4 linked regions of the Lytechinus pictus genome follow. The protein of the gene in region 1 purifies or fractionates together with the protein of each later gene. This does not show direct contact. Links are inferred from orthologs where the notes say so. Each region holds a gene or a part of one and is shown on either strand. Other genes may lie near its edges.

Region 1 (7,602 bases):
TATCATACACCATGATGATTCAATAAAGTCATTAAACATTTCCACTTCAATCACCTTGAGTGTAGTCCTTGTGTATATCAAAACTCCACGAGAATTGCACTTGCCCTTTTCAAGGTTTCCAAATATATTAAATCCTTGTATATTAAATGAAGTCAGAGTTGATTCTGTTACAGAAGATTTAGGTTTTGCTTCAGTCACCAAAATAATATCAATATTCAAGTTATGCACAATGATTTCCAACTCAATCATTTTGATAAAGAGTCTGCATTTGTATATAGAACTTTCAAATCATTTCCAGTTTCAAATGCCACTGAATTGTCATCAACTGAACATTTACTCTCCTGTAGTCAACACTCACCGAGGTCAACTCCTCCTATTGCTCCTTCTAACCTTGTCTCATCTGTTAAAACTTGTCCATCTTTAGGTTTAGTGCTGGGTCGCACTTCTTGTATGTCTTCTGACTGTTGGAAGCTGGATTGAACATTCTCTTTCACCTGCTTGTCCTTCGTCTGCCGGGAGAAGGAATGTGCCACATTCTCTGTACGCTTCTGCTTGAGTTTCACATCAATATTGTAGGTGACTAATCTTCCTCTGCGAATCGTCAAGTTTTCTTCACCCTCCTCGCGTCTCCTCTTGAGCTCTTCCCTCAGAGCTTTACGCTCTAATCGCTGTTGTTTAGTCATGTCTGGAGCAATGAATACATTCATCCATTTCTCTATTTTTCTCAAGTTTTTTGCTGACTTCAAGATTTCACTTTTGTGTGTAGCATCTTCAAGTTGTACCAACAGAACCCTGGGCTTGGCGTTCTGATTTTGGATCCTCCCTCCCAGTCGTATGACTTTCATAATCCTAACTCCCTCCACGTGACATCCTGTTGAGAAGATAGTTTCAGCCTCTTTTGCATCCTCACACTGTCGCTCTTGAAAACTATCACCTGTCGACTCTGGTACATTGAATAAAACTAAGTTTAGCTTTCTTCTTTCTCTATCAACTATTTCATCAACAGTTGCTATGTTAATGAGTGCAGATTGTTGCTGCAGTTGCACATGACTAGCCTGTGAATCTGAATTGTAGTTCGGGCTTTGGCTAATGTCAGATTCAATGCCCCTACTGCTTTTACTTCTAGGCCTACTCTCCACTCTTTCTTGTTGTTTAGTTACATGTGCGTATGATTTATTTCTATTGTCATTTATCTCTGAAGACTCTAGCATCGACTTAATTCCTTTCATTTCTTGCATAATTTCACATATTTGATGAGTAAATTGATCCAACTGATTGAAGGGAATATCTGCACTTCGGCTATTGCCTTGTTCTCCGTTGGCAGTAAAGCCAGAATTGATATGAGTGTTTGCTGTTTTCTGCTCATTCAATTCAACTGATTTGATAGCTTGTATAGCCTTCTCTTCACAGTAAAAACAGTACCAATGAGCATGATTATTTTCGTCACTCAGTACAGCATACACTTCCATGGACATGCCTTGACACAACAAACATGACCACCGCTTGCAGCATTCACATTCAATCATAATTTCAATGCCAGTTTTATCACAGTACTCACATTGGAATTCTTTCTCTTCTGCTTGAGTCGATGATTTCCTATCTCTTGATGCTTTCCCTTGTTTGTTTTTATTGGATGATGATTTACTGGTGTTTCCCTTGTTTGATCTCTGCGAACCGCTGATTTCAGATTCCGATGACTTGCGTTTCGGAAGAATTTTCCTTTTCGCTCCTTGAACTAATGTGGAATCGATCGTCGGTGAAACTTCATCTGCGAGTGCGTTCGGCGAAAGCCGCTTCATGGCCTCCTGTAGTGTCAATTCCCCGTTGCGGGCGGCTGGATTGACGACAGACGCCATCGCGAACGTCGAGTAGGTATCGGGCTAGCTCCCCGCTGAAACTCTACGTTGCGTTCGGTGGTCCACTGCGCTCGTTGCACCTCGCGAAAGATGTTCACCGCGACAATTTAAATCCAACTAAATCCTATCGATCCGCATAAAAAATGGCATATAAATGACATCCGTGGAATAAGTACGATCCTAATCCGATATATACGGAAAAACTAAGCCCCAAACGATATTCTACTCTTCGAAATTTGAATTTCAAAAACAATTTTTGAGAGAGTTAGAAAAATACGTCCTCCATTTTCAACGCACGACAAGAGAGGTGACAAATTTCACGATAAGGCCCAGTATGTCATATGGAAGTGCTAATGGGGATTAGACCGTCTACTATAAAATAAAAATTCAAAATCACAATTCAACTCAAGACCAAGTCATAGGCCTACTATAGAGTATAGTATAGGCTATAGTCTCTTCAATAATTTCCCAAAATATTGCTTCTGTTATATCTCTGTGAAAAGATGAAATATAGAGAAAAGGCAATGTTCAGGTTACCGCCCCTGGTCTATTAATATTTTGTTGACGATAAGGCTAAACTTTTAAGGATTTCAAAAACGCGAAGCGGGTAAACACGAAAATAAGTATATGGGACTACATCCTAGGCCTACACTAAGCGGTATATTAAACAATCATGCCACACTTCACTCGAAATCTGGTTAATTTTTGATTGGGCAGTTTTAACACAAGAAATAAAAGCCTAGTACGAATAATCCGGATGTTCCTTACCGAATAACCCACCAGACAAGAATATAGCGCTGTCTTCTTGGCTGCTTCTCGAAACAACGATACCAGGGCCAGGGTAGCTTGTCGAGATCAAAATTATTTCTTTTAGCTCTTAATCTTAGACGGCGTCGTAGATCGACTGACGAGAGCGGTACCTGGCTATGGGGGCGGCGCGGCCGGGCCGCGGTACCGTACCCAGACTAGAGAGCTCCGGGGCGCGCCCGGGGCTCTCTTTGCTAGCTGGAGTTCTTTGGGTAAGGGCAAAGGATAAGGGATCCCACTTTTGATCCCACATGGACTTTGTCTCCGACGTACATGCCCCTTAAAAAATGAGCTAGGTACCGGTATAAGGCGCAGTTTTTAAAAGTACTCTTTATTGATTCTTTCAATGACATTCAACAGCATTGAAATAAACATACAAACATAATAACTTCATAAATAATACATCAAGGCAGTGACATATAAGGGGGGGGGGGGGCACCTGCCCCCCTGGCGGATTTCACCGGGAAAATAATAAAAACGGGAAGAGAAAAGGGAGAGAAAGGGAAAGTTTAAAAAGGAAGAAAAAGAGGGGAAAATGAAAATGGAAAAGGTGAAAATTAGGAAAAAAAAGTTAAAAAGGAAAGAAAACAGGAAAAGGATCGAAGGAAATAAGATTAACATTTGAGAAAAAGCAATTCTCCCCGATAAACTAAATACATTAGCATGATTAGTAAGAAAGGGAAATAAATTAAAGATGACAAAAAGACGAACGAAAGCAGGAAATGAAGGTAGAATGGAATCCAAAAGCTATAATTTTAGAATAAAAAAGGGACAAAATATAATACGACTGGGCAGTGGCACTAGCGTACCTACGGGGGGGGGGGGGGGTAGTCTGCCCCCCTAGCTGACGAGCCACAACCCATACAAAAGACATATCCCTGCCCCCCCTGACGAGCTTGAAGACATTTATTGCCCCCCCTGAAGAGCTTGATTGAAGCCCTTTTTTTTTTTTTTTTTTTTTTTTGCTTGTCAGATTTTTTGGCGGCCGATTTTGCCCCCCTGTTGAAAATCCTAGGTACGCCACTAGGCAGTGGCGTATCTATAGGACCTAGGGATACGTCCTTTGCATGGGTTCTGGCCCGTAGTAGTCCAGGATAGGCCCCATAGACAAGGGGTCGAACCTTGTTTTTTTAGATATACAATGTTTTTTTATGGTTTCTTGTCAATTCGAGGGTGCTGATTCCGAATCTGAATGATGCCACTCTTGTAACCTTGAGCATTTTCCGCAAATTGGCAAAATCCAATATGGCCGCCAAAATATGCAAATTACCCATGAAAATCATAAAATTGCCAACACATTAGCTATAAAATGCATGTAGTTGTTGTGCAGAAGTGAAATACCAATTGGAAAAGCGATATTTGACAAAATATTTATTTTATTGATATTAAAAATGGCCGCCATAACCCCTGTATACTTTATTATGTAGAATATGAATGGGGAAAATATTTTTTCAAACAAGAGCACTATTATTGCATGTGATTGTGACCTGCGAGTGGACTACTGTCTGAAAACATGACTATTAACAAAACTATGTCATTTGTATACTATCTAATGTGATAAATGCTGTATTATGATATTCAAAATGGCTGTCATAGACCCCTTATACTGTGTACAATATATAAAAGGGGACAAATAATTTTCACAACCTTTGAATTTGTTTGACTTTAAAATGCCAATAACTGCGAAATATTGGTGTAACACCGTCTGACAACAAGGATTTCTAACGAAACATATAATTTCCCTTGCAATTTCGGTAATTATGCTGCATGTTGACATTCAAAATGGCTGCCATAGGCCCTATCTGTATTATGAACAAAGCGAATGAAGAAACTAATTTTCACAAGAGTAAAAACAATAAAATGAATGCAATTGTAATCTACACGAGTGAAATATTGTCTAAACACATGATTTCTGGCGAAACATATCATTTCATTTTTCATGCATGAGATGAATGCTGTATTGTAAAATTCAAAATGGCACCTATGGGCCCTTACAGTATTATCTACAATGTAAATGGGGACAAATACTTTTGAAAGAATTAGGATTTGCCTGACTATGAAATCCATATAATTCTGTTGTATAAGGAAAATATTGTTTGAAAACGTGATTTTTTTAATGAAATATAACATTTCCTCTCCCATAGGTGATAAATACTGTATTTTGACTTTCAAAACGGCCGCACAAGCCCCTACAAATTCTGTAACATGCGTATAGGGAAACTAATCATCACCAGAATGAGAACCAAAAACGCACGTAACTACGTGATGTATAGGTAAAATTTGGTCTTGAACATGATTTCTGACTAAATACATCACATAATGGTTGAGAAGGTAATAAAGGCCTTACTTTGAAATTCAAAATTGCTGCCATAGCCCAAAGTAGTATGTACATTGTAACTGGGGACAGATAATTTTGACAAAATTTTTACTATGAAAATGGCTTAATTTTGATGTAAGTGTTAAGTATTGTCTAAACCCAATGATTTCTAACGAAATATATCATAGCTTGTGTCATAAAGGTGATGAATGCAGCCTTTTAAAAATGAAAAATGGCCGCCATAGTCCCTTATCTTAATATGTAAAATTTGAATGGGGAAAGATAATTTCCACAAAGAAACATAATGCAGCCATTTTGAAATTTAAATATAGCATTTATCACCTAAATAACATAAGAAATGATCTATTTGGTAACAAAATCATATTTTCAGACGATATTTCACTCATACATGCAACACCATTTAGTCAAGCAAAGCCAAATTCTGTTAAAATTATATGTTCCCATTCACAAAGTACATAATAGGCCTACTGTTAGGGCCTGTAGCGGCCATTTTGACTTTCAAAATACATTATTTATCACCTACCTGGCAGAATGAATGATATATCTTGTTAGGAATTATGTTTTCAGACAATATTTTACTCTTAAATCACAATTATATGCATGTTATGGTGCTGACTCATGTGAAAATAGGTTTCCCAGATCGATTGTACATAATACAGTCAATGTCTTTTAGCGGCCATTTTGAAAGTCAAAATACAATATTTAACACAAATATGAAACCCGAATAATATATTTCGTTGCAAATTATATTTGAAGACAGTATTCCACTAATTTACCACAAAAAATACGTTTTAGTGCTCACCTTGTGATTGTTTTTGTCCTCTCTCACATCGTAGATCATAATTTTAGGGCCTTTGGCGGTCGTATTAAATATCAAAATACAGGGTTTATCACATACATGGCATGTTAAATAATAAATTTCGTTATTAAAAATGTTTTTAGTCAGTATTCCACTCGTTTATCTCAACAAAATGCATGTTAGTGCTCACTCTTGTGATTTTTTTGTGTCACCATTCACATTGTACATAATAGTGTTAGGGCTTTTGAAGGCCATTTTGAATATCAAAATACAGGATTTATCACATAACTGACATAACAAATGATATATATCGTTAGCAATCATGTTTACAGACATTGCTTCACTCATAGATCATAATTACTTGCATTTCAGTGCTCAATTTTGTAAAAATTAATTTTCCCCATTCATATTGTACAGGGGTCTATGATGGCGGCCATTTTGATATCAAGAAAATAAATATTTTGACAAAAATCATTTTTTCAGATATTATTTCACTCCGGCAGCACAATTGCATGTACTTTAAAGCCAATGTGTGGACAATTTTATGATTTTCATGGGTAATTTGAATATTTTGGCGGCCATATTGGATTTTGCCAATTTGCAGAAAATGCTCAAGGTTACACGAGTGGCATCATTCAGATTCGGAATCAGCACCCTCGAATTGACAAGAAACCATAAAAAAACATTGTATATATAAAAAAACAAGGTTCGACCCCTTCTATCCTGGACTATAGGTACGCTAGTGTGACTGGACTGCCGAAGGCCGAAGATAGAAGAAAAAGAACGGGAAGAAAGATGGATGATATATATAGCATGCCAGTGTACGAACCAGCTCATAAATGATTGCTAGACCCCGTTCTGCAGCCGGGGCTTAATCTGTAACTCTTCAAAGGGCTATATAACGGGCCTCTATATGGGGGCGCCGAATTGATGTTCGCCATGGTTGGAAGGAGGGGGGGGGGGGGGCGCCGATTTACCTAGGGGCGCCGGATTCATGTAAATTTGTAATTCTAATGCCCCAGTTGTTACTATGAATGTTAGGGGTGTGAAAACACGGTTACACTTCGTAATTCCGAAGGTTCTTTATTCCGAAGATTCGTAATTCCGAAACACGCAAATTGCCTATACCTCGATGTTCGTTAATCCGAAAACGTAAAAGGGTTCTTTAATCCGAACATTTGTGGCGTTATTCCGAAGGTTCGTTATTCCGAAGGTTCGATAATCCGAAAACAAAATAAAGTTCGATGTTCCGAAGGTTCGTTAATCCGAAAACGAAATAAGGTTCGTTGTTCCGAAGGCTCGTTAATCCGAAAACGAAATAAGGTTTGTTGTTCCGAAGGTTCGTTAGTCCGAAAAACGAAATAAGTTTAGTTAATCATTTAGTTTATGGACTAACGAACCTTCGGAATTACGAACCTCATTTCTTTTTCGGATTAACGAACCTTCGGAATTACGAACCTCATTTCGTTTTCGGACTAACAAACCTTCGGAATTACGAACCTTCGGAATAACGAACCTTCGGAATATCCGAACCTTCGGAATAACGAAGCTTCGGAATTACGAATGTATGCGGAAAACACAATGCGTACCGTGAGTCACGGCATTGGGGGGGCACCAGCAAAATATTTGAGTCACTTAGTGAGCGCGCGAAGCGCGCTCAGTTGCCAGGTATACTGACCTAATAGGGACATTTTAAAGACAGTGCCATTAAACGGATATGTATGTCACTGCTCAAATAATGCGAAGCGCGAGCTGAAAATTTTTGATATGCAGACCAAAAAAGGACATTATAAGTAAATTTT
Region 2 (7,523 bases), on another chromosome or scaffold:
ATATGGACTTGAATGACATGGACTTGGTCTGTCATTGTTGTGGCACTAAAGCAGTTGAGCAACGATGAATGTTCAAGGTTAGAATCTTAATTTTCACTTTCAATGCAGATTGGAGTCTGAAAATATGAAATAAGTATGTTATATCCACAAATCCAGGCTAGCTCTTTGCAATCCATCAAGAGTCTGAAAATATGAAAAATAAGTATGCTGTACATGTATCCACAAATCCGGGCTAGCTCTTGGCAATCCATCAGGCAGTGATCGAATCTGGCCAATACACTAGCAACGCCAAGGCAAGATTGATTGAACGAATTTGATTAATACGATGGTGGTCCCAAAGTCTGCGCACCTAACAATTTGAGTTAAGATTTAACATGAACTTCTTATTTCACAAAATCTTTCATTTAATAATGTTCCTTATATTATTATGAGTAAGTGTAACAAATATCTCATAAAAATTTGAAAGAAATATAGGAATTTCTTATATAAAAACCTCGGGCAGTTATTTTCAGATTGAAAAAAAAAATGGTACCCCATGTCTGCGCACCCATTCACTTTGCACACGATTCAGGGATTTTGATGAGAAAGGCTGCATTTTGAGGTCGTCACATGAAACGCCCTAAATTCATTATTTTCCCACCATTTGAGTCAGATTTTTCAATGAATATCTGTCTATGTATTGCATGTGTAAAGTCTGTGTTCCTTGCATATCTTCTTTTACTAGAATCGCGCAGATACATGTACGCATGTGCACAGACTTGAGGGAACTTGCCATACTTTTGTTTTTCTATTAGTTAAATGTATTTTTGTGATAATCTGTCATTTTTGTCTATATTTCGCTATTTATCCGAGATTGTATTGTGTTGATGCATGGTTTTGTTGGCATGCCTTGTTCGCAAACTTCAATTGTATGCGCGTATCGAGTGGACCTTCCTAAAAGCAACACTGCTGTGTCGCTGCCCTCTACGTTCGTTGGTCAATATAAAAGTCAAATAAAGTCAATATAATAAGGTCAATTTGTCAAATTAAGCCAATATAAAGGTCAAATAAAATCAATATAATAAGAATCAATACTAGTACACCATTATGGAAGTAAATCTTCCAATTGATTCCAATATTGGCCATGCCATGAGCCTCTGCGAAGCTCTAAGGGATCTTACTGAGTCTGACTGAGCTGAGCCTAACTTAGGCTCTAACGTCAGCCTTCCTCAAGGCTTCCACTCTTCCCGTAATCCAGGAAATTCCGGGAAGTTTTGCCCTTTTCCAAGATCATTTCGGGAAGTTATCATTTCCAGGAATTATATTATTTTCTGAACATTATGTCAAAATCTATCTCAAAGTTAGATCTTTGTAATGAAAATGTCAAAATTTTCGCTCACTCGCTTCACTAGCAATTCTTTTCCCCGATACGTCTTTGGTCATATTTTGCCCCCTCAATATTTTTGACTCATTACAGCACTGGGCCCTATATTTCATCTTTTTTGCATACTTTAGAAAAGAAGTACATAACATCTATGAAAGACTGGAGAACATTTGTAAAATTCTGAGATATTTTGTAAAATTCCAGGAACTTTTAGTTTTAGAGTTAATTCCACTGGAATTCCAGGTTTCGTTTTTAAAAGGGGAAGGCCTCTCTTCTCCTCTCAGTCTGACAATCAAAAATTTCTGACTCTGGTCTCTGTTTTACTTAGAGTTAGAGAAGTTAGACTTTTAAATTTTTAGTACAAAAAAAACCTGATGAATTAAAAAAAAAAAATTTTGATTTTGAGCATTGAGTCTTTTGAGACTTTGTTATGCATTATGTACTTTAAGTCAAGAAGTTAACAGTAGAGGCGCACGGCCAATATTGGAGACTGTCTCCAATGTGGGAGATTATCTCCAATATCAGAGACTTTTGTAAAGAATTTGGGTATCCAATTTCAGAGACGGTCTCCAGTTTTGGCGACCAATTTCCTTTGTTTACATTTGCTGCAAAAGGATTACCTTGGCGGCAAATAAAAATGTGATAAGGAGATTCCTCATGAAAAATTACCCTTTTTCACCTTCTACTTTAAAAATTCACCGTCTACTTTTGTTTTGATAAGGATTTTTGTTGTCAATCACACACAAAACAAATGGGCTTCTGACCTCAGTGAGACAAAATTTTTGGTTGAAAAAATCATGCTTTTGTTGGTGTTGTTTCTTTTGTCCTTTTGCAAAGCAAGTCTCCAATGTGGGAGATTGTCTCCCCTATTGCTATTGGAGAGAGTCTCCCATATTGGCCGTGCGCCTCTACTGGTTAAGTCTACTTTATCCATGAGTCATGACAATGTATTTCTTTATGATCAAAACCTTAATTTAGAGGTCTCATCATGACATGGGCATGCATGGTCATGGCAATTGTTCAGGAATACCGGTATTACTATTACTATTATATTCGCTGGTGCATGGTGATGGTGCAAATCATATGCTAAAGTTCAGTCCCATATGTGCATTTTTGTGATGTAAAAGTTTGTCACAATTTTGAAAGATTGACCTAAAATAGGCCTATTATTGTCAAGATACCTTGTAATTCAACATCTTTCTCAAGTTTTATGTGGGATGGGCTAAGACTCCTCCCGCGTTTTCGGTCATTTTTCTGTTCTGGTGAAGAAATTTCCCCGGCTTCGACGTCTTTCTCAACGACACGACGATCCCTGTCCTTATCCCTGTGTTTGTGGCTGTGTTTGCTCCGGTGTTTCCGCTCTCTATCTCGGTCCTTATCACGGTCTTTATGCTTGTGTTTCCTTTCCCGATCCTTGTCCTTTTCCTTGTGTTTTTTAGACGACCCCATGTTGAATGAAATCGATAAAGTACACCAGAAAATCCAAAGAAATTAGATATATAAACGTTGATGAGAATTTATTCGCAAAATGAAATGCGTTTTCCAATCGTATATTTTCAGCGAGCGTTATAGACTAGACTCTAGCTGGCGCTCTTTCGGAAAACTTTCGGCCGGTTGCTGATTGTGATTCGATTTGGTTTGGCGAGTGTTGTCAATTTTAGGCCTAAAAGGTTTCAAATTATATGAGCGAAGCGAGTGAACAAAAATTGTCATATTTTTAACTACAAAAATCTAATTTTGGGGTAGATTTTGACATTAAAACAATTAAAAGATATAACGTAATTACTCGCTCCTTCCTATTTCAAGTTTTCGTTGTTTTTTTATCTTTACCGTTTTTTAGGGGGCATAGCCCCAAAAGGCCTATGGTTCCTCGCCCTGAAGTGCAGTGTCTCAAGTTCCCATATATTTTGTAGACAAATCCATCTCTTTTATTCAGAAAGGTCGGATGGTCCTCCTCATGCAGATCTACATAAATTTGTGTCAATTGTTTACATTTAATATAAGTTTTTTTTTAAGTTATCTTTTCATTTGTTTATGGAAAAGGACAGATTATTAATTGTATTGTATTCAGGATAAATCAGTGTTTTAATGTTATGAATTGAATTATAACTGAATCTGGTAACGATAAAATTGTGAATTAGGGCTATTTTCATTTTTTTAGCCGGGGCCGGTTTCGATTCAATATCTAATTCAGAAAGATTAGTAATGTAATGTGCCCCCAACAATTTCCCTCTGACATAGGGCTGAATTAATTCCAAGGCTCATCAAACCATTAACTTGGGCATGTTTAAAAGGGTAAGAAACGTAAAAAAAAATATTTTTTTGATGAGCCTGGTTAGATCATGGAGATTTCTTTGGTCGAATAAGGAAATACCCTGGTCAGATCAAATACTTTTTAATTTTATGATAAGTCCTCTCGGGGGAGATTATATGGGTAAATAATTATCTTTAGGTTCCCCGTGACAGTGCCTGTGATTTCAAACTATAATGTGAAAGTAAATCGCACAATTTCTGTCCCACTTGAGTGAAGCTGCCCCCCCCCCCCATTTTCTTAAACTGATGGTTGGTATGAATCAATTACTTATTATAACTAGGGCAAGTTATATTGACAATAATGAGAGACCAATAGAAGGACTTTGAAGATTCATTTAGTGGCAACCGGGAGTGGCAACCATTGAACTTTCCAGATAAGAGTGATGTGATTTTGCTGACTGGATATAGTTACAATATGATTATTTTATGATATGATGATTTATTTGATTATTTTTTAATTAGTATATAAAGGGAATGAATATTCTTTTTATAAATCATTTTTAAGGTGGATTTATTTGAATGATATTTTTTTTGGGTAGGTATAGCATTGCATAATTTCTGCTAACACAAGGGCTGGTTGAGCATGGGGGTGCACATCCCGGTGAGCGGTGAGGTGGAACTGAAGTGGTAGCTGGGTGCACATCTTGGAGAGGTGGAACTAAAGTTTGAAAAAATCAGCTGTTGAAAGCAGAAGGGGTACAAATTTCGGTTTGAACTCCTCAGCGAGAGGGTGCGTGTGCACCCCCAGCCTATACGCCCTTGCAACAAAGGATTCTTTTATTCATTTTATTTTTTGTTAAAAAGACTAAGATTTTTGTTAGTCAAAGACAACCTGTATCGTACTCATATTTCATTATGTGACTCTCTCTCTCCCTTTCTGTCTCTTTCCCCCCTCTTCTCCTCATAATCTCGCACCCCCCCCCCCACCCACATTGTCTCTTTATCTACACTGTATTTCCATCTGCGCGCTTTTCTCTAATTTTCACCCCTTTATCTCCCCACCCCCTCCCCCTTTCTGTCTCTTCAACTCTTTCCCTTTTCCTCCTCGTCTCTCCTTTATTCCAAAAATATTATTCCCTTCACTATATCCATTAAGGCCAACGTTCCAAGCAGTATGCTTTCTAGGTCGGCATGGTTGGTTACAATGAATGCATACATTGTCACCAACCATGCCGACCTAGAAAGTATTTTGAGTGCTAGTCGCCATAAATAGAGATACCAATGTAATGTATATCTATTATTACTAATGGAAGATCATAAAAAATGAAATTGTTTGAGGGGCGTGAAATGTGTCCATCTTTGCTTTTTTTTTCATTTTACCAAAGATTCTCTGCCTGGAACATTAGCCCCAGAAGTTTTTAGTAATGAATAGTACTTTTTAATGAATAATAACTTCGTCACTATTTTTAATAATACTGTCTGTCAGTGGTAATTTCATTTTTTTGTTCAGTTTTGAGAAATATCTGAAAAATAATGAGAAATTTATGAGAATTTGAATATTGCGATCACTAATGCTATAGAGATCCTCTTATTGGCAATGCGACAAAGATGTATGATGTCACATGTGAACAACTTTCCCTTTGATGGACTATGAAATGCCCCCAAATTATCTTTTTTGCTCTTTCATATGGTGATACAAACTCTTTATCTACAATGTATTCCTTTCAAAATCTTCTATTGAAAGAATAAATTATCTACTGATAGATGTGATAATGTTCACATGTGACATTACACATCTTTGTCGCATTATTAATGGGAGGATCTACATTACAATAATGATCTAAATATTCAAATGATCATAACTTTCGCATTAATTATTCAATTTTCTCAAATTTTTATTGACCTTTTCTTTTATTCTTCTGTATTCGCACAAGCTATCTTGTTTCAAAGATTTAATTTTCCTTTAAACATCGGCTGCATTGGATAAATTTGGTTTAGTTTATAATTTGAATTTATTGCATTGATTTGCTAATATATGTATAGTCCACCCCAACAAAAAGTTGATATGAATAAAAGGAAACAAAATCAAACTTAAGCATAACACTGAAAATTTCATCAAAATCGTATGTACAATAAAAGAGTTATGACACTTAATTTCAAAACAATTATATGCACATCCTGGTCGGGATAGGGGACTGATGACATCCCATACCTAGTCACTATTCTTTATTTTTTTAATTTCATTATTATGCAATATTGAATAATTTAATATTCCTTTAACTGTCATGAGAAAGCTTTATTCCTCCCTGAACACGTGGAATTTCCATGATTGTTTTAACACTTTGTGGTTCAGTCAAGTTGGTCACTATTGTCAAATCTGTAAACACTTATTGTATAATTCAAACAATAAAAAAAAAGAAATTGTGAGTGAGGGACATCATCGACTCTCTTATTTCCATAAAAACACTGAGTTGTGCATATTGTGAAAGATAGGCGAAATTTTAAAATGTCAACCTTTTTAGTAACATCCAATTTTGGCAGCGTCATGCTTTTTTAATTTGTCTTTATTGATTCAAGTTAACATTTTCTGGGATGGACTTGACCTTTAAAGCTTTCTTCGAAGAAGCAGAAAGGGTTCTAAACAGTCGTTTATATAGAACCATTTTGGTTATTCCAGTATACAAGCCTGTACAAGGAGTACAAAATCATATCGATAGAGACAAATCAAACAAACATGACGCTGCAAATTTCATCGAAATCGGATGTAAAATAAGAAAGTTATGACATTTTAGAATTTTGCTTATTTTTCACAAAACAGTTAAATGCCCAACTCAGCGATATGCAAATGAGAGAGTCGATAATGTCCTTCACTAATTATTTCTTTTGTCTTTTATTGTTTGAATTATACAATATTTCAATTTTTACAGATTTGACAATAAAGACCAACTTGACTTAACCATACGCTTTTACAATAATGGTAATTCCACATGTTCAGTGAGGAATATAATTTTGTTTCACATGGCAATGAGGAGAAAATTTGAATTTTTCATATTTCATAATTATAATAAAATACAAAAGAAGTAGTGAGTGGGTGACGTCATCAGTGTGCCAATTTGCATACCGACTAGGATGTGCATATAACTGTTTAATGAAATTTAGCGAAACTTTAAAATGTCATAACTTTCTTATTATTTTACATCCGATTTTGATGAAATTTTCAGTGTTTTGCTTGTTGGATTTTTCTCCTTTTATTCAAGTCAACTTTTTGTTGAAGTGGACTTGTCCTTTAACATGTTTAAGAATCCATTGCAAAAACATCTGAAACCGCTTTAAAACCATTTTATAGATTTGACATAAAAATACTATTAAACATATAAAACTGTGAACTTTTCGGTGAGCTTCACGTGCAAAATTCTGATTCTGGACAACTTGAATGTCTTTACCCCCTCTCGCCTTCCAAAACATGGATCAGCACTACTGACTCTAAACTATATGTTTTTAATAAGTTTAGCTTCTATCAGGGAGTATAGCTGCAGAGACATTTTCTAAAGATTTAGATTTATGATTTATTCATTTCCGTTCAACAAAATTTTCAAAATATAATCAAAGTATACATATTCAATACAATACAGACAGTTGATGACATTTTATAACAAATATTGAAGATAAATTAAACAAAACTAAGGTGAGATGCAATTATTTTATCTATATGAAGAATGTGGAAATGAACGGAGGGACTTGCCAAGAAAAGCGAAGCTTGTAAAGAAGGCAAGTCCCTAAACTTAGGTTCAATACTAATTAACAAACTATATACAAAACTATATATATACAAAAATGGAGACGGACACGGAAGACGGGCTTAAACGAGTAATCTACAAAATATCATAATAAAGCGAGTAAGCGACAA
Region 3 (7,900 bases), about 34 Mb from region 1:
ATCAATATGCGGCTTTGCTTTACCATAATGGACCTTCATGCCACATTTGATGATGATCGGAAAAGAAATGTAGCTGGTAGAGCGCTAACAATGACATCTCTACTATTTCCACAAAAACTTGTTACCATGGCAACTATGTCTCCGCCCACACCAAAATTAATAGGTTGCTATGCTTTACCATTTAATGGACATTCATGCCACATTTGAAGATCATCGGAGAAGAAATGCAGCTGGTTGAGCGCTCACAATGACATCTCTGCAAGTCCACATAAACCCTTGTTACCATGGCAACGACGTCTTCGCCCACACCAAAATCAATAGGCGGCTTTGCTTTACCATATTGGATCTTCATGCCACATTTGAAGATGATTGGAAAAGAAATGCAGCTGGTAGAGCGCTCAAAATGACATCTCTGCTATTCCACAAAAACTCTTGTTACCATGGCAACGATGTCTCCGCCCACACTATAATCAATAGGCGGCTTTGCTTAACCATAATGGACCTTCATGCCACATTTGAAGATGATCAGAGAAGAAATGCAGCTGATAAAGCGCTCACATGGAAATCTCTGCGGTGGCGGACGCGGCGCGACGAGGCTAAATCCATAGTATCCTCCGAACTCTGTTTGGGGAATACAGTAACATCTACCATCCAAGTTTGGTTGAAAAGTGATTTACGGTTGCAGAGTCATGTGTCATAAGAAAGTCTTACACAAAAAATTTAACGTTTAACGTTGACCTGAAAATTACCTTTGACCTTACCATGTGACGTGTGACTGCAGCATGACATACAGGTCTCCGAACTACATCGACAATCCAAGTATGGGTGAAAAGTGACTTGTGATTGCGGAGTTAGGTGTCATAAGAGAGTCTTGCATGTAGACTTTAACGTTGACCTGAAAATGACCTTTGACCTTACCAAGTGACCTCCTACTGCAGCACAACATGCAGGTCCCCCATGTACATCTACCATCCAAGTTTGGTTGAAAAGTGACATACAGTTTCGGAGTTACATGTAGATGTCATAAGAGAATCTTGCATGTAAACTTTAATGTTGACCTGAAAATGACCTTTGACCTGAACATGTGACCTCCGACTGCAGTATAACATGAAGGTCCCACAAGTCAATCTACCATCCAAGTATGGTTGAAAAGTGACTTACGGTTGCTGAGTTATGTGTCATAAGGTTAGTGATGGACGGACGATGGACAACATTTGGATCCCTAAGTCTCGCCTTTACCTCTGGTGGCGAGACAAAAAATCATTCTTTCAGGTCATGTGTCTGGATTTTTGAAAATATTTCATAATAAAGGTGAAACTTTTGATCTTACACATGATACAAAATAATTATTTTGATGCATCAAAAGTTGTTGTTTTGAGCCCAAATAATTTTTATTTTTTTATTAAAGCTAAAGATCTAAGCGTTAATATGATATAGGTTTTATAAGAGGTATTATAGATGGCTCAGCATCTAGTTTTTCATAGGCCAAGTACATTTAGCAGCATTAAAACAAGAAAACTGCGTTCTGATTGGTCATAGAGACAACACACCCACGCAAATTCCAATATTTCAATGCTGGGGCCTGTCCAAGCAGGTCATACTGACCATGTGATAATCTCTTCAAATTACCCGCAACTGTTGTTCTGAAATCTTATCCAGCCAATGAGAATTCTGGATTTCTTGCTACTCAGAATTTTCAAAAGTCTTTTCTTGTATCTTGATGGTAAAAGCTGGCTGCTGCAGACCTGCCAACTTCTGGGAATGAAAAAATTGTATTCTGTGATAGCAAAAACTGTATTTCCCCCCCCCCAAAAAAAAAAAAATAATAATAAAAAATTCCATAGTAGGCCTACAGGGGCTGATAATATTCATTGTCTTTTGAATTGTCAGCCATACTATCAATTTTAAAGGTTTTAATTTGTTTCTGATTATTTAAAGTTATATCATCAATGTTATGTAACTTTGTTTATGTAATTATTTGCTTAATTATAATTCTAATTTATTTATTTTGTATATCATTGTATGTATACAGGGATCTTCTTTTTAAAAAAACAGGCCTTTTGGCACTGAAAAGACTACCCTGTTTTAGATAATTTAAGTGAATAAATAAATAAAATGAAAATATATACTAATGAATACTAATACTAAAAAAATATATACTGTATATATACAAATACTAATAAATACTAGAACTAATTTATGCATGCCTCCTGAGTTCTAGTTTTATAGTCTTCCTTTATCACTTTTCACACCATAGTGTGGAGCTGTTTGGTGTGATTGGCTGTATCATTCCATTTATCTCAGGCAATGGGGCCTAAGTTACATAGATTAAAGCATTTCATCCTGAGAATTCAGGTAAAAAATTACATATTAATAGCAGTAATCCCCACATAATCACATTAATAGTATATTCAGATTCAAATTGTCATTCATATTATCAATTATAATGATGTGGGATTCTTTTCTACAAAATAAAGGATCGAGACAACAGGCCGTTCTGCTGCAAAACATTGCATGACTGAAGCATACATCTGGGTAATTGGATTTAGTCTCATTAAGCAATGGCCGACCATGCTCCGTGCAGTCGCAGACGTTAAGCTCATATTGCGAGTCCACACTCTATAGTCTATAGAGTCTAGCAAATTATATATTTCTGTTAAATAAAACCCACCTTTTCAGAACAGTATGTTTCCTCTTCTTCCTTGATTTCGTATCCTCTTCATCTGAATCACTACAGTCATTACTTTCTGAATCAGAATTGTTCTCCCACTCATCTCGGTAAGATATGACCTTTGACCTCCTACTTTTTTCTTCCTCTACTTCTCTTTCTGATACATCTTTCAGTTTGCGCTTCTGGGCAGCAAGGACATCTAAGCCTAGAACAGAAGATCTTGATGGTGGGGCTTTTAAATCCGGATCAGAGTTTAATTTCTTCTTCTTGACGACCAACCCACCAACCTGATTAGAAAGTCCTTCAAGACGATGAATTGAATCAGCCATATTTCTAGAGTTAATAAATGAAATTCAAAAAATGAAATAAAAAGTTTTAAAAAAATGAAAAGATATATGTCTACACAAGGGCAGTTCCAGCGTTACGGACATCACATTTTTGGTAATTTTTGCAACTTCAAATGAAATAACTTAAGATAACACAACTTTTTTACTCTAACTCTAATTACAGAATCACTCACATATGACCATGAATTATATACAGTGCAAGTTTCAATCAATGTCAGTAAATAATGTGTTGGTTACAGCATATAATGTTCACCATTACTGACAATTTTTTTTAAAAGACTTCATACCCATATATTCTTTGAAAAGTTTGAGAGTTTAAGTACACAGTGGGACTAATAAAATTGAACAATAAAATTGTTCATTGGATTAAAGTTAAATCGGAGGCAATCAGCAACTTGCTCCTGGAAAAGTTCATGTGGTAAATCATGGGAGTAGCAGCAAAAACCTGTTGCCTCCTTTCCAAGCTGCAGACGCCATACATACTGTACATGTAGGACCGACCTGTATAACTTTCCAACTAGTAAAAAGTTAAGCTGTTGATATTGATGTGAATCCTGGAATCCCTGGGGATGAAAGCAGCACCTGTCTACCTAATGAATTACATGTAATGTCATGCCACAATACAACATCAAACAGCTCAATGTCCACAAAGTATATAGTCAGGCAGCATATGTCATGATTTACCAGCTACTTCGACAAATTGGCTAAGTCTGATTTTTCACTTTTAGGTGATTGGTGACATCACAAGGAACAATTTTCAACTTGGTGACAAATTTCTAATGGTCATCTTGACCATGTTAGTGGTCAAGATGGGGTCAATAGGGGGCAATTTTTTTAATTGCCCTGATTCTGTCAAGTGACACATCAAATTGTTAGTCTTGTTATACTGAACAAAAAAGTGTACACAACCATATACACTTGACCTCCCGTTAAAAAGGTATGACCGGAAATGTCAAAAGGTCAACAAACTTTCGTTAAATGGCCAATTACACTGAAGGTGTGAAGAAAGCTCATTTTTCGATGTTTTTATGCATGTGTGTACTTTTTTATTTTCAATTTTGATAAGTCCATCGTCAGAAGTCCTTATCCAGAAGATATAAAGGGTCAAGACAAGGTCTTTATCTGAAAAAAGACATTATATATAAAGGGGTCAAATGTGCTTATCTAGGAACAAAATAGATAAACAGAGATAGACGTCGAATACATTCAGTGTGGTATCATGGTATTGCAGGAATACCTTGAAACGATTTGACAAACCATTATGCCCTTAAAATCTTATCATCTTCATGGTGTGATAAGTGCAACCAGGGAGTTTTTTTATTTATTTAGGAATTCAATTCAAGTTCAATTCATTTTCCATTTACTAGTCTTTGATATGTAAAGAAGTATTTCCTTCATTTGCTTTGTACAGAATATTTTAATCAACAGAAATTATTGTAATGTATTGGGGTATAATTATAGTACTACATGTATGTTAACAGAATAAACACATCGATTGATCAGTGCTCCCAGCTCCTAAGAAAGTTGCCTAACATTTCATTTGGATTATCTTGCGAATAAGATACTCGATCTCTGGAGCCAAGAAGGACTACACATTTCTGGTGCATGTGCTGTTCTGAGCTTATCATTGGGACCCTTTTGCATTTTGTAAAGTGAAATTTAAGGATTTTGTGCATACTGTACTTTTGGTCAATTATATTTATTTTTCAGTAAAATGCAAGTCTTCACAATTTCTGGGGGCAGCTGCCCCCCCCCCTTCCCGCTGCGGTATGGCCGTGGTTTACTTCAATGACATGTGTGATTATTCTTTCTAGTAACATCCAGGTAGTTCAGCAATTAGAAAAAAAAAACAAGAACGACAAAAGAACAAAAACAAAATCTGCATCTAGATGCACATCACTATCGTGAGAACTGGTATTAAGTTTAGTTTCACATTGTATGCTCTGGAAAAAACACATTTTATAAAATAGTACAAGCCGTGTTAACGTAAGCACATAATCAGGAATGTGTAGTCCTTCTTGGCTCCAGAGATCGAGTAATGGTCAGAATATATCCCATCAGCATGATGGACACCCATGACTGACTACAATGAGCATGCTTGCACGATGTTGCCTCTTTGTCAGTAATAATATAACCGTCACACATAATTAAGGGGCATTTGGAGTCCAACTTATCATATCATCCTCAATCCTAACCTCATTATCTTAGTCGGAAGTTAATCCAAATAAGATCTTTCTCAGGAGCTGGGAGCACTGGTCAATCGATGTGTCTGCATTGAATGTATTCGACGTCTATCTCTGTTTATCTATTTTTTCCTAAATAAGCACATTTGAACCATTTATATTAAATGTCTTCTTAGATAGAGACTTTTCAAAATAAAGAACCCACGAAAAAGAAGACTTCTGAACTTCTAACCGCTTTTAGACATGTATTTTGGCTGCCAATGAAAGTTTGTTGACCTTTGGAGCTTTCCCTGACCTTGTCTTGACCCTTTCTATCTTCTGGATAAGGACTTCTGACGATGGACTGATCAAAATCGAAAATAAAAAAGTACACACATGCATAAAAACACAGAAAAATGAGCTTTCTTCACACCTTCAGTGTAATTGGCCATTTAACGAAAGTTTGTTTACCTTTTGACATTTCAGGTCATAACTTTTTAACGGGAGGTCAAGAGTATATATGGTTGTGTACAACTAACAATTTGATGTGTCACTCGACAGAATCAGGGCAATTTAAAAAATTGACCCCTATTGACCCCATTTTGACCACTAACATGGTCAAGATGACCATTAGAATTTGTCACTAAGTTGAAAATTGTTCCTTGTGATGTCACCAATCACATAAAAGTGAAAAATCAGACTTAGCCAATTTGTCAAAGTAAATAAAATATGCTGCCTGACTAAAGTCTAGCTGGGAATCCCTCAGAAGCAACATCACTTGAGTAGAAACCCTGTGATCAAAGCAGGGTCTTAATCCGAGAACTGCACCTCCAAAATCATGGATCTCACAAAAAGCACTCTGCAACTGCTTCCTCCTCTGAGGAGGTAAACTACCCACCAAGCCTTCATATATCTTCTCTAAAAAATTGCGGGGTTAAGTCCAACAAAGAATTAATTCCTCTACTATTAAAACAGATGGATATTCTACTACTTCAAGAGCACTGGATCCATGAGGGTGAATTGGGTGTCTTTAAGAATCTTCAGTCACATTTTCGTGCCTTCTCCAAAGCTCATGATCAGCTATACTCTCTTCCAATTCTCGCTACCCCAAATAGCGATTTCGCCGAGATCCGGAAAAATCCCTGTAACGCGCATTGCATTATGGGATAGCTTTTCGGTATTATAACTTCCTGTTCGGAAGTCCAATGCACTGTTTTGCAATTCAGATCAACAGTGCCATCATGCACAACAACACAACGTCGCTTTCGCTCGGAAAGTTCGTGATCACAACCCTCTCTTTCATGATACAGTTTAACTGCCTTTTCTGCTAAAGTCACTAATTCTGCCCGACGCTTTCCATTGCACGGTATTCATCTGTCAGTTAAGATTTTTTTAAGTTCCGAAATTTGATTTTTATCCATTTCGTGGTCGACGAAAAATTGAACGAAATGAATGCTGTATATATTTAGTGTCTAGTTGAATACGATCGTGATGTCAGGCCGGTCGCTAAATGCAAAATTTTAAGATATTCATTATTTGTTTGATTTTTTTATAACCAAATAAAAACATGAATAAAAATTATTTTCACGTGAAATATATTTTTTATTTTTATTTATAATTCAAATGGAATAAAAACTGACCAAATGAAATAAAAAGTATTATACTCTGTACATATTACGCTGATTGGCATCGATTTCAGCGTGGTGGAAAACTCAGTATCGCGAACCTCGCGTGAGCATGACCCTAAACCGGAAGTGGTGATGACGACCCGACAGAGTGAAAATTATCTCGTCTCGCCCATTATGAGATTTTTGTTCCTATTTGGGGTAGCGAGAATTGGAAGAGGCAGAAGAGGTGTTGCCAAATTTGTCAAGAAGGCACTCCCATGCTCTCTAAATGTTACTCCAACAATCTATCCAAGGGTGCTTTGCCCCCATTTGCTCTCTGAAAACCAAGATGTGCCAGTTTGTAACTACTACATGCCATGAGATGTAGTGCTGTAACCCAAACTTTTGTGGTACAGGTTAACCTGCCAGTATGCCCCCAAACGCGGGTTGCGAGCTGGGCCAAATTCATTCTCCAACCCGCAGACCGTACGGCGTAAGGGAGAAGTTATGACACAGACAAAGAAAAACATTTAAAACACACAGACGAAAGAAGGTAAAATAAAGTGAGTTTGGATTACTCAGGGTCACGTGGAGCGTTGTGGCCCAGTGGATTAGTCTTCTGACAAAGGGTCGTGGGTTCGATTCCCAGCCATGGCGTAATTTCCTTCAGCAAGAAATTTATCCACATTGTGCTGCACTCAACCCAGGTGAGGTGAATGGGTACCCGGCAGGATTAATTCCTTGAATGCACGAGCGCTGAAAGGCAGCTCGAGCTAAAGCCGGGGTAATAATAATAATAACAACGCGCCTCGGAATAGAATATTTCTAGATAGATGGCGCTATATAAATGCCTATTATTATTATTACATGGCAGTTTCTTTTAGAGATGCTATTTTCTTAAAAATTTGCAGGCATATTTTTGTGTTTGTGAACGTTGTGTGGGGCTCCGAGTCTGAGACAGTTCGGCAAATACCGCCTCAATATGCATTAGCCTCCCAAGTGAATTAGCGATAGTGCCTCAACATACATTAGCCTCAAAAGTGCTACCAGCACCGTCACTGAAGTTATTATTTTATTGACAATTTGAGGAGCTTGTTTTTTCAGCACATTTGT
Region 4 (6,895 bases), on another chromosome or scaffold:
ATATTTCATAATTAGACACCAACTTACTGCTATTCATTCAAGCCCTGTCTTCTACTATTGTGATTATTCATAAGTGTCTTTCGCATTATGAATAATTAATGAGCCATTTTTTAGAACTTAAATCAAACTCCTTAAGGTCACAAAGTTGCAAGTCACACTGATCAATTATCAGCCTGACAGGGCCCATCTCAAAATATTAATAACCATATTCAATCCAAGTTTTTACTTCTTAGTTTCCTTAGCATTGGAGCTAAGCAGAATGGTGGTAATTTGGACACAGATTGTCTGCTGGTAGAAAATTTTAGTTCTTCATCCCCTGTTTCTTTTGAGGTACATATTCACCCAAAAATAAAAATAAAATAAAAATTGCTCCAAATGTACTTGAAACCATGCGAAAAGGGAGAATTTTTCGACTTGGGGAATGATCATGCTTTACACCTTCCAATAGGTAGTGCCACCACCGGGATTTTCTCTTTCCCTTATACATTAACTCACCATTAACCCTGAATTGATTCTCATGGTTTTTCATGGTTGCATCCAGCTCCATCTCCATCTCTTTCTCAAAATCATCTTCACTGGAGGACATCTGAAGGCTGCCTCGGCTCAAGCTCCTCGTCAAACGACGTTTCTGTTCTGGAGTCCCATTCAGGATGATATCTAACTCATCTTCAGAGCTACATTCAGAAAGAAAAAAAAACAGTGAAAGAAGAAATAAATAGCTTAGTCTTAAAAGCAATAAAAATTAGTAGACAAGAATTAATTTCAAACATGCATGACAATTTTCATCTTAATCATCAGATTATTAATTATGTAAATCAATATTGCTTTCCTTTTCTTTTTATGAGGATCTAGTCCCAGTCTTATATAACATGGAAATGTAACCTAACTTTTCATAATTTTAGAGTTTGAACATCAAATTTATGTTCTCACAAGTGTTGCGCAGGCTGGATTCCGACTTCTTTCATATTATGTAGATCTAACTTAATAAATTTAAAATTGGAATCACAAATTGACAGGTTACCTATTCAAGATGATGGGGTAAGGAATCAATGTACAGGGTGTAAGTGCAAACTTTTATTCAAAATAATGAAGTGAAAAATCAGTACTACAACCGACAGTTATCATAGACGAGGTGAAGTTCAAGTTCAACCACAGGCCACACTGTCAGTGTCACTGACAATGTTTTAGTTTTTGCTTTGAGTTTGACTTTGTGAGAAATTGAGACTGATCATAACCGATGGATTATCCTCAAACCTTAGTTTTAGTGGAGAAAATGTCCGATTAAAAAAATTCTGTTATTTATACAATTAACTTTTTGTGTTGGTGAACTTCCCCTTCAATTCAAAGTTCACCCCCGCTATTCTTCGTTGGTTACGCGTAGCCAGGAGGCTCCTAGAGAGTAAAAATCCTTTACCAACCTATGCTTACTCTCCACGGAGCCAGGAATTGCGTCCCATTCATGTGCATGTACCGCAAAAAAAATGAAACTTTCGCCCCCGAGATTCTACTTTCCTTCCAAAAGATCTAGCCCTAAATCAAATGGGATACAACTTCATTTCCGACATTTCTACGCTATTGATTTCATTCTCATACAAGAATTCATTAAAAAATATGAAAAGACAGGGAAAACTTGCCACCATGTTTACGTCGCCATCTTGATTTCTTTGTCTTTCGCCATATGCGTGCTGTAGGCATGTAGCCTTGGCCTTGCATGGCGAAAGACAAAGAAATCAAGATGGCAACGTAAACATGGTGGCAACTGGCAAGTTTTCCCCATCTTTTCACAATATTTTTTCTTGTTTTTTTAATGAATTCTTGTTTAAAAATGAAATCAATATCGTAGAAATGTCGGAAATTAAGTTGTATCCCATACATGATTTAGCTGGGCTAGAGCTTTTTTAGAAGGAAAGTAGAAATCTCGGGGATGAAAGTTTCAGTTTTTTTTCGCGGTACACGCGCATGAATGGGGACGCAATCAAATCCCTGGCTCCGTGGAGAGTAAAGCATATACCCAGTTGTTGTGTGTCCGGACAGGTTGTGTGTCCGGACGATCAATTTTAGAAAGTCATTTGGAATTGGAAAAATTTACAAGCGAAGTTTCATAAATTATATGTTAGGAAATATTATAAAGAACAAAATAGAAGATGATTACAAGTATTGAATTTATATTTTTAGTGTAATCCAAATACAAAAAAGAAGGCTTCAAAAATATAAAGTGTCCGGACACCCGACCCCCCATCCTACCACGTTAGTAAATGATTTTTACTCTCTAGGACTAGGAGCCTCGATCCTGGCTAGTTAGCGGCCGCGACCGCGCACTGATGCAGCCGGGCCGCCGGGCGATCGCGACAGACAACGGCGCTCGAGCCGAGAGGAGGTTGCACAGGATCCGCCACCCAGCCCGGCCAGATTACCTTTCATTTTCCTCATCGACATCGTTGACGCTACGATTTCCACTCCCAGTTCCACCCCTTCCAAAAATATTGAAGGGAACATTGCACACTCTCTGATCGTGATCTTCATCCATGGTCAAGCTAAACTAATCTGGAAGTTCTTGTGATAAAAATCTCACTCTTTTTCGGCAATATATGGGACTGAAGCCTTCTATCTTGTTCGACGGTGCGGTGGATGCGACACCGGAAGTCTCCGTCATTTGCCTTACCTCCGGCTCCGAAGGCCGAAGTTTGTGGGGAAATTTTTCGACAGCAAATTTCAGGTAATTACAATTGTTATTATTAAAAAAACTGATTGTTTCTAAAGACAATTTTATGTGGTTCATTTCGGTATGATTGATTTGCAATAATTTTTAATTTCAACATGCTTTTTTACTAATTCTTAATTATAGTTCCAAAATGAATTTCGATCCGTAAACATGACAGTGAAAATACAGTATGGGACTGGCAACCGTAGCCGGCATTGCGGCGCGCGCTGGCTCAGTAGCCCGATATACCCCGGTCCGGTGGTTGATATACCCCGGTGGTTGTGTGTCAGGACTCAGTCTTAGGACACATGACTTTTACTTTTAGTTATGAAAAGTTTACAAGCAATTTATTTGATTTTATTAGCACAGAATGTAAGAAAATGTTAATAAAGAACAAATAATGATGGTGATCATGGTGATAAGCACTATTCAACCTATATTTTTGGCTTAGATTAGAGTGAAACTTAGACTTATTGTCTCATAAATAAGAGTCATATTGAGAAGTGAGATAAACATAATTAGTGTGAGTGAGCCAGGCCCAGGACTGTCTCAAGTCAAAGTCTCAAGCCTCAAGCAATTCTTCTGTGTTCGGACACCAACCCCCAATGGGTGTTTCCACAGATCCAAAACAAATTTCCTGAAAATGAATCCTTAATTTCCCGAAATTAATAGACATTTCCTGGAATTTTCAATTTTGATTTTTAACGAAAATCAGGGAATATGATGGGGTGTCCAAACTTCGGGCACTTTTCAAAAATATTCATCAGGCTTAAATATTTTCACAAAATATTCCTAATTTATACAAAACCAATTCAAGAAATAGTAACCACATTGACGGCAAGATCGTAAACTATAAAATCATGGACGAAAATGTAAAGTAGGTCAAGGGGATTTGCCGGTATCGCGATCTCAAAATTCTATTCCGATCGGCGAATGCGCGCTGTGCTGGAAAACCGTTCAGAAAAAGTGTGACCTAACTTCGCGGACCAAAGTTTTTGTGGACATTTAAACAAAAACTCAAGCTCAAAAAGTGAAATATTTATATCAGATCGATGGCAAAATGCTATAGAATCGGTTAGTACCACATTTAACTCACATTTTTGATGATTTCTGCTTGCAAAATGGTGATATCGTGATGCTTGTTGAAAATATCAGATTTCTTCAAAACAAGTGCTAACGGTGACAAATTTGCCGATCTTTTGCCAATATTTTCATGAATACTGAACTCATCCTAAAGAAACTTACACCAAAGGGTAATTTTAGGTCGCTTTTCACGTTGATTACGTCAGATTTAAAGGATATTGGCTAGTTTTTTAGATAATGACCGTCCGCGAAGTATGGACACGCGCGAAGTTTGGACACACTGCCATACAATGAGCCTAAATTTGGTCCAAGAAGAAGTGACCATAATCAAGAAATTTAACATTTTTTTGTTCATGCCATCTTTAAAAATAGGAACAAAATTATGAAATGGGAGCGCAGAGCGCGAGCAGAAAATTTTGAGCTACGACGACGGAGCCTACGTCTGGAGCCGGAGGTAGATCTTATGTTGGATCTAAATCTTACTACTTCACTGACTGTCACTGTTCTTAGGATACTTAGGGAATATATAGTGGGACCACCACATATCGACCACCTTGCACGCATTAAAATTATTGCATATATTACAAACGATACGCGCGGGAGATAGGCGCAGTGCCCATTGGAACGGTAAGAATCAATTTTACGAGAGAAAAAGAAGGGGTAAAAGGTAAAAATTTAGTAGAATTTATAAAAATTGTTTTTACTAGACCCGAACCCTGCCAAAAAAACAGTTGTTCATACCAAGAAATCCGATAGGAAACGGCTTTAGAAGAAATATCTGTCTCCAATTGTCGAATCATGTGCCGGAGCTCGCAGTGGAAGTAGTGAGATGATCATTTAGCATGTTGTCATCATAGAACTGATTTGGAAGAGTCAAAATATTTCGCCACCACAACAAGAATCGGCTGAAATGTGGGAATCTGATCTGCTCAATTTTCTGCACAAATGAGACGAAAACTAGGTTAAAACTGATAAGTATTTTCGCAGATACGATTCTTAGAAAATTAGGTGGTCGATAAGGGGTAGTTCCAACCATACTGAACGAAGTCATTATGACTCTGTATTCAGTTCCAAATTCTTTCTCCTCTTTAGGATGGCCGGATCATCTTTAAATACTACAATGAATATTTAAAAGTTGTTACGGTTAATTGTCGTTTAATTGTAATCAGGGGCGGATCCAGGATTTTCCAAAAGGGGAGGCATGCACATTATGATTTATCCAAGGAAAAATTGGACCAGCAAAAAAAAAATGTCTTCTTTTTCAAAGGGGGGGGGGGCACACTTCTGTTTTAACAGTATTTTTACATGACAAATTTCAATTTTGCTTCTCAAAAAGGGGGGGGGGGATCTGCCAGTGATTGTAATTTTTGGATTTCCCTGAAGTTCCTGGAATATTTTCATTTCCAAAACCTTTCCTGGAAAGTCGAAATTTCCTTAATTTCGGGAAGAGTGGAAACACCCCATCCACTTGCACTCTTCAACCACCCTGTCTGTGGTGAGCCTATGCAACATACAATGCACATTCAAAAACTTTTGTGATTATAAAAAAATCTCAGATCCATTCAGTTATGATTTGTTTTCATTCTAGACTTAGAAATAATTTTTTTCACCAGAGCGCTCAAAACCTTTCATTTGAGCATATTTTTGTGAGACCCTCTATTGGTGGTATTAGAGATTGATGCAGATCTTCATCTTCACAGACTCGCTTTTTAATTAGAAAAAAAAATATCATTTAGTTTTGGGCCAAGGCATATTTTTTTATGATGAATTTACTGTAGTAAAAACTGACTGCCAAAATATCAAGTATTTATCCAGTCTAGATCAAGAGAAAATAACCCAAACGTTTAAAATCTTTTTCTTTTAATTTCACCACGCAGGGGTTACTAATTGAGGACAAGGTTACATATCATGGCCTTGTATTATTGGATAAGTGCCCCCATCCTACCACTGGTTGTTGCATGTCCGGACGGGTTGGGTTTTATGGACCGACGATTTCTTCCACTAGGTCTAGTCATTTGAAATGGTTTGAAATTAAAATCAATTTTTTGTAGTTTTCAAAGAAACTTTTAGAATTTAAAGGCCTAACGTAGCATACATGTATGCGTAGACCTCTACTCTGTTGATATTCCCGACCTTTCGTTTGAGGACGCGCACGCTTATTTACGACGGTAGTTGATTTTGGAAGAGACTTTTTGGGCCCGTCATCATGGTCGTAAAACTCTGTCCTGCAATGCAAATTGTGTGACATGAGATTATTTTTTTCGTTTCGCATCTGCGACGGAAACATTCAATATGCGTTTCGTGTGCAAAATTCTGGTTGCTACTATGGTAACAGCGATATATCCGATTGAGGACGACTTTCCAAAGCAACATTTGACTCCTCCTAGAGCTCGAGAGGCCGCCCGGGGGGCCCACTTCCATTGATTAGTGGATACCAGGAGCGAACACGCGTTAAAGGGGACAGAGTGGGCAGGTACGTTACTTATAGGCCTATGTAACGTAATAAGGGTGTCAAAACGATGTTTAAAATGCTGAAAAAAAGGGATATATATATACTTGTAGGGTTTCACAAGCCAAATACTTGTTAAGAGATGCATTTTCATAATCTGGAAAAGAATTGCTTCCCTTGTTTAGGGTACTTTTCGAAACCTCATGGTCGTGCCTGGTATCCACTCATCAATGGAAGTGGTCCCCCCGGAATTTGAATCTAATCCCCCATTTCTGGGGAAAGAAAAACATAATGCCCATTACATCGTGTGCGAGAGGCATATCGTTTGTGTAGAAGGAGTAAACAAAAGAAACAAAAGAAACAAAGAAACAAAAGAAACGAGTTCAAACGTATTGCATATGCTGTGCGCATATCAACGCGCGCGGAATTTTCGGCTGGAGAGGTTGATCTGACCCATGAAATCAATTGCCAGTGATCCACCAATAATCCACATCAAATGTAATATCGATTCGATGGACTGTAATGATCTATATCTAAGCCTTCATTCAGTAAGTTTTTCCTCACTCAATATGTACTCAATTTGTTTGAAAAACCACTTTCTTATCCATGTCATAATCTATTTTAGGTCCTGCATTTCGAATATCTCCAGCCATCAGTCGTAA

The links.
Region 2: the proteins of CD2 antigen cytoplasmic tail-binding protein 2 homolog (region 1) and U4/U6.U5 tri-snRNP-associated protein 1-like purify together in Homo sapiens (affinity purification with mass spectrometry; 4 studies listed by BioGRID and IntAct, with this or other methods). This does not show direct contact. The link is inferred for Lytechinus pictus from reciprocal best matches to the Homo sapiens genes CD2BP2 and SART1.
Region 3: the proteins of CD2 antigen cytoplasmic tail-binding protein 2 homolog (region 1) and pre-mRNA-splicing factor ATP-dependent RNA helicase PRP16-like purify together in Homo sapiens (affinity purification with mass spectrometry; 3 studies listed by BioGRID and IntAct, counting the BioPlex papers as one, with this or other methods). This does not show direct contact. The link is inferred for Lytechinus pictus from reciprocal best matches to the Homo sapiens genes CD2BP2 and DHX38.
Region 4: the proteins of CD2 antigen cytoplasmic tail-binding protein 2 homolog (region 1) and E2F-associated phosphoprotein-like purify together in Homo sapiens (affinity purification with mass spectrometry; 3 studies listed by BioGRID and IntAct, counting the BioPlex papers as one, with this or other methods). This does not show direct contact. The link is inferred for Lytechinus pictus from reciprocal best matches to the Homo sapiens genes CD2BP2 and EAPP.

The regions. Positions count from the first base shown.
Region 1 is NC_087246.1:5,700,379-5,707,980, reverse strand, and holds the start of CD2 antigen cytoplasmic tail-binding protein 2 homolog, read right to left. Parts: upstream 3,015-7,602; 5' UTR 2,625-3,014; intron 1-2,624. UniProt on the Homo sapiens protein: Involved in pre-mRNA splicing as component of the U5 snRNP complex that is involved in spliceosome assembly.
Region 2 is NC_087251.1:43,746,951-43,754,473, reverse strand, and holds the start of U4/U6.U5 tri-snRNP-associated protein 1-like, read right to left. Parts: upstream 3,004-7,523; 5' UTR 2,813-3,003; coding exon 2,545-2,812; intron 1-2,544. UniProt on the Homo sapiens protein: Plays a role in mRNA splicing as a component of the U4/U6-U5 tri-snRNP, one of the building blocks of the spliceosome. May also bind to DNA.
Region 3 is NC_087246.1:40,090,735-40,098,634, forward strand, and holds the start of pre-mRNA-splicing factor ATP-dependent RNA helicase PRP16-like, read right to left. Parts: upstream 3,002-7,900; 5' UTR 3,001-3,001; coding exon 2,672-3,000; intron 1-2,671. UniProt on the Homo sapiens protein: Probable ATP-binding RNA helicase. Involved in pre-mRNA splicing as component of the spliceosome.
Region 4 is NC_087251.1:39,835,016-39,841,910, forward strand, and holds the start of E2F-associated phosphoprotein-like, read right to left. Parts: upstream 3,010-6,895; 5' UTR 2,528-3,009; coding exon 2,415-2,527; exon of another isoform or gene 2,223-2,414; intron 675-2,222; coding exon 496-674; intron 1-495. UniProt on the Homo sapiens protein: May play an important role in the fine-tuning of both major E2F1 activities, the regulation of the cell-cycle and the induction of apoptosis. Promotes S-phase entry, and inhibits p14(ARP) expression.